Linked DNA regions of Rattus norvegicus. The protein of the gene in region 1 interacts with the protein of each later gene in a biochemical or structural test. Links are inferred from orthologs where the notes say so. Each region holds a gene or a part of one and is shown on either strand. Other genes may lie near its edges.

What was found.
Region 2: the proteins of Flt1 (region 1) and Pgf are reported together in a solved structure, tested with the Homo sapiens proteins (2 studies listed by BioGRID and IntAct, with this or other methods). The link is inferred for Rattus norvegicus from reciprocal best matches to the Homo sapiens genes FLT1 and PGF.

The regions. Positions count from the first base shown.
Region 1 is NC_086030.1:12,497,166-12,500,975, reverse strand, and holds part of Flt1 (vascular endothelial growth factor receptor 1 isoform 1 precursor), read right to left. Parts: intron 3,345-3,810; coding exon 3,260-3,344; intron 1,125-3,259; coding exon 1,030-1,124; intron 1-1,029. UniProt on the Homo sapiens protein: Tyrosine-protein kinase that acts as a cell-surface receptor for VEGFA, VEGFB and PGF, and plays an essential role in the development of embryonic vasculature, the regulation of angiogenesis, cell survival, cell migration, macrophage function, chemotaxis, and cancer cell invasion.
Region 2 is NC_086024.1:110,554,733-110,558,634, reverse strand, and holds the start of Pgf (placenta growth factor precursor), read left to right. Parts: upstream 1-887; 5' UTR 888-1,191; coding exon 1,192-1,257; intron 1,258-2,364; coding exon 2,365-2,404; intron 2,405-3,902. UniProt on the Homo sapiens protein: Growth factor active in angiogenesis and endothelial cell growth, stimulating their proliferation and migration. It binds to the receptor FLT1/VEGFR-1. Isoform PlGF-2 binds NRP1/neuropilin-1 and NRP2/neuropilin-2 in a heparin-dependent manner.

The DNA.
Region 1 (3,810 bases):
TTGACACCAGGGCCTTCTTTTGAGACTTCATCACAGGGAAAGGGCAAATATCTGCCTGGGAGTGCCCGTCTTTCCAGTGGCCTGGTGGACTGTGCAAATCCCATCACTGGAGGGGTTTGTAGGAGTTCAGTTGAGGCTCAGTCAACTACAGCACCGGGACTGGCAGCCTGGTGTTCTGTTATGCGCGTGGGTGTCGTGCTCCCCTGTATCTATGTGTCCCACACGTGTGCCTGGTGCCTGCAGACTCCAGAAGAGGGTGTCAGATGCCCTGGAACTAGAGCTAACAGTTGGCTGCTGGCCACCACGTGGGTGCTGGGAGTCAAATGGGGTCCTCGGCAAGAGCAGTCAGTGCTGCTCTTTGCCACAGCTGAGAGCCAGGCATTCGAGCCAGGAAAGGTAGGTGGGTAGGAAGGTAAGTGGCCAGGCTTGGGTAGCCTTCAGCATAGAGAACCACTGAGGTCATCTCTACCAGTCCACTCTACAGCCCGGGCCTGGTGATTCCGAAATGACCCAGAATGGAAGGAAGAACTGCCCAATGGATCAAGCCCCAGGGGATTGTGGGAACATCTACAAGTGAGATGCGGGTAATGGGTTCAGCAGGATGCAGAAAACCCTTATTGTAGAAGTTTGAATTCTCAAGGTTACAAACAGGACTGTGCTTCCTTGTGTAGACCCTGCTAGCCCAGGGACCAGAAATGGGAAGTGTTGTCTCGTGAGTCTGTGAACACGTCCCAACCCTTCCTCCACAGCTGGACACATCTGGCTCCTTTCCACCAAGGTCCCATATTTCTCAGGCTCAGCCTGCCTGTTATAAGAAGCCCCAGTCTTCCTTGTCACAGAACCTGGGGTTCATATGTCTTAATTTTATGACCCCTTTCTTGTCCCTCTGGGGGGGTGGTTGCTTTTCTACCATGCCCAAACACCAGGAGGCCAAGTAGCCTTAAACATCTCACTCACAAGCCCTCTTTCCTGGCATCCTCCACCCCAACTCCCACCCTTCCCCTCCCCCTCTCACACCCCCTTTCTTACTCTATTTTCATTGAGGCCTTGGGCTTGGTCTCAGTCCAGGTGAATCGCTTCAGCAAGGGGGAGGTCAGCAGACTGCTGGTATCCAGATGATAGTCCTGTGGGAGGGAGGAAAGGGGGAGGTGACCCACTTGCCTGGCCCGGCAGGCTCCTCGGTGACTCTGAAGACATTGGAGGCACCTCTGAGGTGTGGCCCAGTGCTGTCCTCAGCAAACACAGCCTCTGCCCACCAGCACTGAGCATTTTGTTTGCCCTGGCATCTTTGAGCTCATCAGAAAAACAGTGCCTGTTATGGGCAACTTTGAGACCCTTCTAGAAGGTGAAGAAAATTAAAAGGAAATCATGGCGTCTGAGGAGATGGTTCGGTGGAATAAGTGCTTGCCAATCACACATGAGAACCTCAAAGTCCTCATCAAAGTCAGGCATTGTGACCCATGTCTGTCACCACAGGCCTTGGGGTGGGAGGTGATGATGGAGACAGGTAGCTCCTGGAGCTTGTTGGCCAGCCTGTCTAGCCCAACTGTGACCTCCTGATTCCCTGAAAGATCCCGTCTTTAAAAACCAATCAATTAGGGGCTGGGGATTTAGCTCAGTGGTAGAGCGCTTACCTAGGAAGCACAAGGCCCTGGGTTCGGTCCCCAGCTCCGAAAAAAAAGAACCAAAAAAAAAAAAAAAAAAAAAAAAACCAATCAATTAACCAAAACCCCAGTCAGATGAACAACTGAGAAAGACACCCAACCTTGGTCAATGGGCTCCACACATACATTTCGGGGCAGGCACGCAGGTCCACACAGCATGCACATAGACACACACACATACCTGGGATGGAAAATCGTATGTAACTGCTTAGTATTTTCCATGTAAAACTCACTATCATATGTCAAATTATATATGCAAATTATCCTGTATGCAAATTATCATGTTAAAACTAACTTTGGTACCTGGCTAGGACTCTGATGTTGTACGTAAAATTTCAAGGAAATCATAGATGTGGCGGAATAATTTTCTTTCGGAGAGAGTCTGGCATTTGCCATGTGTGCATATTTGCATATGGCGTATGCCCTATGTGACACAGTTTCCAGGAACTGTGTGGTTCAGTCACCGTCATCATCGAGTTCTCTACTCGCTTTTCATTACTGTCACTATGGTGTGTTGTATCCTGTTAACAGGAAGTGGAGTCCCACTTTGTTTCTGCCTCCCGCTGAGGCTCTTACTGGGTTGTTTGTACACCAGGGCAGTGAAAGTGCTGTCACCGTTTGCCACATTTTAGGGCTAGCCTAAACTTGAGAAATTTTGAGGTTGGCTCAAGATTTCCGGGGACTTGAACTACTGAGCCACCGCACAAAATTTCTAACTACGTTATCCCGGCATCCTACTGCTTACAATGAAATGCCTTTATATTTTGAAGTCACCATGACCCTTTGTGAGTCTGATGAGGTTCAGGTCTTATACATATGGGGTTTTTTTTCCCCCTGCATGCATGTGCACTTCATGCATGCCAGGTACCCAAGGTCAGGGCTTCAGGTCCCCTGGAACTAGAGTTACAGATGGCTGTGAGCAACCATATTGGTTTTGGGAACCAAACTAGGATCGTCTGGAAGAGCAACCAGTGCTCTTAACGACTGTGCCATCTCTCCAGCTCCCAGCCTCAAGGTTTCTCCTCTTGAATTACGACACTGTGTTTGTCTCAGGAGCCCACTCAATTCCATTCAAGGGCCTTTCCATAGACTTGCTGACAGAAGCTGCTGGTTGGCCAGGTTACTCTGGTGTGCTTTGCCCAGTGTGACTGTGGGGGAACATGGCTGCTCAGCTGCAGAGCCTTCTGCTAAAGGGGCCTAGGGCCTACGTGGACTTCTTTCAGACTTCTGCACAAGGCCTCTGTTGTATCTCAAGGCCCAGTCACTCACACATCTTATATTCTTAAAGAAAGAAGGGTGCATCATTGTTAGCCTACAAGAATTCTAGGCAACACACATTGTGCCACACCTCTTCCCCTCTAGAGAGCTGGTGGAATGGAATGGCTTTAGAATGAACTCCAGGAGATCTTCAAACTGTGGCATTCTCTTTCACATCAGCTCTGCACAGTGAAGTCTGGCGTCTATTCTTCCCCCCTACTGTAACCTTGGCCTCTTCAGATCACTGGCCCTCACTGGCCAGGCACTGCCTTGGGGTAGGTGTTAGACAGGGAGAGATTTCTGACAGGAAGTACTGCGTCGTTATTGTCATGACTTACTTCAAACATGGAGGTGGCATTTGGTGAAAGCTCCTCAAAGGTTTTGATTCTTTCCAGGCTCATGAATTTGAAAGCGTTTACGTATCTAATGAAGAAGTAGAAAGAATAATCAAGGTAGGAAAAGGCACACTCCTTCGATGAATCAGCACATTCTGGAACTTGAGTGGATCCCACCTAGCAACCAAAATACCAACCGGCTCAGACTCACTCCTTCATATGCTCTAGGGACCCTCAGGGTAACGTCACTTCCTCCACGTAGTCAATTCAACTTTACATGTAGTCTTCAGGAAGGGCCCACTCCAATGGAATCAAATCATGCTAGTCATAGAGGAGCTGTGAGACCTCATCTGGCCCAAGGGTCTTTTTTTTTTTTTTTTTTTTTTGAGCTGGGGACCGAACCCAGGGCTTTGCGCTTCCTAGGTAAGCGCTCTACCACTGAGCTAAATCCCCAGCCCCTGGCCCAAGGGTCTTAATGGTACAAATAAGGGGCAGATACCCCTTCATGACTTCATCTTATCACTTACTGCTGTCAACTTCCTAAAAGGACATGG
Region 2 (3,902 bases), on another chromosome or scaffold:
CACATACACACAGCTTCATAGTTATACACAAATGCCCATGCAGACACCACCCTCCCTCAGCACGTCCCTACTGCTTTAGAACACTTCTTCTTCTACTTGGGCTCAGGAGGCGATGCCAAGTTAGTCCATTCCCTACCTCTGATAGGCTGGCCTGGCCCGACAAGAGGAAGTGGTTGTAGAGCTGGGTCTAGCCAGGTGCCCCGGGGTGTTTCCTGTGTGCCACCCACAGCTGGGCTGCCCTGTGCCTGCCTACCGGGTCAGATAGTAGATGGAATAGAGGGACGGTTCTGGAGGCACGTAGCTTGCCTTCTTTCTCTGCCAGATCTCTGTCCACGCAGGCAGATGCCCGCGGGCACACAGACACTTTTCCTAGCGTGAATATGAACATTGTTCGTCATCTGCAGGTGGTGCCCTCTCACCGGATCGGGTTGTTAGTCTATAAAATGGGGTTAGTAATCCTTTCACCCCCTCCTCCCGGGGTTGTATGGGGACAGCACTGGTCGTGAAGGGCCACAGCAAGATGCTGCCTTCTTAGGACTGCAGTCCCTGCGGAAGCCACTAAAGTATCCAGCCATCTCCAGGGCAGATGTTGGACGTCCGCATCTGGAAGCTCTAGAAGAGCCAGGTGCAATCTTGGCCGTCGCTGCGGGCTGACCCCGGGGCAAGCTAACGCCTAGCTTCCAGGGGCCTAGAGATCTGCACCCGCAGCGCCCCTTCGGCGCCCTGCGGGGGTCACGCGCACTCAGGTCTCACCGCCAACCGAGCTCTCAGCGCTCCGAGCTGCTCCTGGGGCCTCGGGCTCAGTGGGCGGGGCAGGCTGCAGCCCCGCCCCATGCACAGCCTTGAAAACCAGCGGCCGACTAGCTTCAGTTCATAGGGAAGCTGCAGTCTGAGAAGGAAACTGCGTCTTCAGACTTCTGCTCACCCACGAGAGGAGCTAGGGTCATTGGACACCTGAGACCCTTTCACATCTCTCCAACTCACCGGGACGCTCCTCACTAGTTTCCTCAGCCACAGCCCTACCTGTGAGCTCCGGACTTTCCCGGCTTCCAGTGGATGCTCAGGCAGACTGCAGAGACTCAGGACAGCAGTGAACGGGACACCCATCTCCTCCCCTATCAGCGTCTCCTCCTAGGAGGACGGGCATGGTGATTTTGCCTTGAAGGACCTTGGCTCTGGACGTCTGAGAAGATGCTGGCCATGAAGCTGTTCACTTGCTTCTTGCAGGTCCTAGCTGGGTTGGCTGTGCACTCCCAGGTAAGAACCTGGCCTGGCTTCCTCTTGACCATCTCATCCCAGCCATAGAAACAGGGGCTATGGTCTTAAATTACAGACTCACTTTAGAGAGCAGCTTCTGCTAGGATGCCCACATATTTCCCAGGGGCTGGGCTGGACCTCAGGGAGGAGACCTCTGGCTGGGCTGTCCCCAATTCCTGGGGGCTGTCTTAGTGGGGGCAGGGAAGCCACAGGGAATGAAGGAGGTTTCCTGTCTGGCCCCTGGAGCCCTAGTGGCTTTGCAAAAACCATCCTTCCACTAATCCTACTCAGTTCCCTGGCCCTGTGGTCAGGGTTGTGGCCCCATGACCAACCAGGCGCCCCCAGGACCTCTGACCTGGCCTAGTGGGGAAGGAGCTGTAGCTAAAGAAGCTTGTGGTGGGGAGATGAGGCCCTTCCCCCACCACTGCTCCAGTTGAGCAGGGGGCTCTTGGGTGGGCTTCAGATAGGACAAGGGATCCCGCCATGCCCTTCCTCCTGGTGGGTGTCAGAAGGTCCTGAGTGCAGGGCCTGGGGAAGCGAGCAGGGCCCTTTTCCCAGGAGCTGGGTGAGTCTGGCTGCGAGCCAGATTGGGCAGCAAAATCCTGACAAAGCCAATGCATTCCCTTCCTGCTGCACTGCCCGCTGCACTGCCCACTGCCCTGAGAGCCCTCAGCCCCAGCCCAGGAGTGGGTGGGTTGTACAGTCCCCCTTGCCGAGCAGCCAGGCCATCATCCTGCTTGCTGCAGTGTTCGCTCGAGGTGTAACGTTACTGGCAGGCAACACCAGCTCCTGGCGCCGCCTTCTCCAGCCCCTGAGCTCCCACCAGCTGATCACCTCCCCCTGGGCTCTGGCACCCAGCCAAGGCGGGCTGTAGTAGGCCCAGCAGGGCTGGCCTGGGGGCTGGGTAGAAGAGAGACCCCACAGGATTACAAGCACTCTGGAACCCCAGAAACCTCCTCCTACCCTTTTCCAACTGAAGAAACTGAGGCCAGAGAGTCAGGTGGTTTTTAGCGGCAGATGGGGAGGAAGGAGCTCAGGGTGGGCTCAAAGAGCTGAGCCCCAAGAAGATGCTCCCTCCTCACAGCTCCACCTTTGTGTCCACCGCAGGGGGCCCTGTCTGCTGGGAACAACTCAACAGAAATGGAAGGTAAGCCAACCAGGCCAGCTATGCAAGCTGAGCCCCTCTCTTCTTTCCTCTTGAGCCCCAGCAGAGGAGAAGGGATTGGTCTGAAGGGTGGGAACAGGCCGATAGCAAGCTGGAGAGGGTCTGTAAGCTAGATATCATGGCTGAAGCCCAAGAGTTCACCTCTTGTGACCCCGCAGCCTAGAGAGGTGCAGTCATGGGTTAGGGTCACCAAGCACACAGAAAGCGCAGGACGTGATGGCTAGGGTTCTTCCAGCTGGCTGAGGGCCCCTGCCCAGCATGCAGTAAGGTGCAGATGGAGTCTTGGTGAACAGGATTTGTGTTGAGTGCCAGAGGCCAGACTGGAGTCTGGGAGCTGGATATCATAGGAAAGCAGTCAAGGGGCTTGGTCAGGACGAAGAGTCCTCCCTACCATTCCAACCCTGGTGGAGCTGTGCAGCGCTGACCAGGCCTTTCCATTGATTACAAACAGGCGGGCTCTGTCACACCCTCCCTGGCCCTTTCACTCTCTGCCCTGGGTTGTGTCAAGACATAATCTTCAAAGGGCAGTGGGACCTTTGCCAAAGAGAGGAGCGCGCCGAAGGCAGGGAGGGAGATCATTCCAGGCCCTTTCTCCTTCTCCCTTCCTGCTTCTCAGAGACGTGGATGATGGCCACATACCATTTCGAGGTTTCTGACAGCACGGGAGAGAGGAAGGATGTACTTGTAGCAGTGTCCTCATAGGCACAGATAATAGCTGGATTGCTTTTTGGGGCTGGGAACTGCCTGCTCTCTTGTCTATTCACCAGCCCCCTGGGAGCAGCCCCTCTTCTGCCTGCTCTCACATCTGAAGCCCAGACCACTGGGCTTCTACCACTGGGTAGAGAGGTAGCTGCCTCAGCTTTAGGAACTTGCCCGTTTTCTGAGCCCTCCGGAACTGGCACAGTGTTATGCTCCCCCGGATCTGAGGAGGGTCGTATCTCCCACCCCTACACCATATCCATTATTGAGGACTTTTGTATGTAGAGCAGGCACCAGCTTTCAAAGATGTCTCAGCCTCTGTTTTTTCATCTGTAAAATGGGAGAGCTCAACTAAGTTCTTGAAATCAAAGACTCTTTTCTAACATTGTGAGATCCTGAGTCCTTGGAAGAAACGTGAATGTATATTACTTCCCAAGATCCTGGGTGAGAAAACTTGGAGGTATACATTCAGAATGTAGGTCAGCTCACCCGTAATCCTAACAGGCAAGCGGGCCTGCGGTGTGGATGAGGAAACACCAGCTATTCAAATCTGGTATTACCATCCGCTCCTGCCAACACCAGAGTCAGAGGCAGTGTGGTACAGCCGTGGGCATCAATTTTTTACTACTGTTCTCAGATCTAGGGATGGGCATGCTCTGTTACTTGGCCTGACCATAGACTGTGAAGGAGGAAGGTCCCCGTGTGTCACAGATGATGTACATGAGGCTTGGGGAGGGAGGGGGAAGGGGAGGCGAGCCCCAGAAAGCAGTCAAAGCTCTAT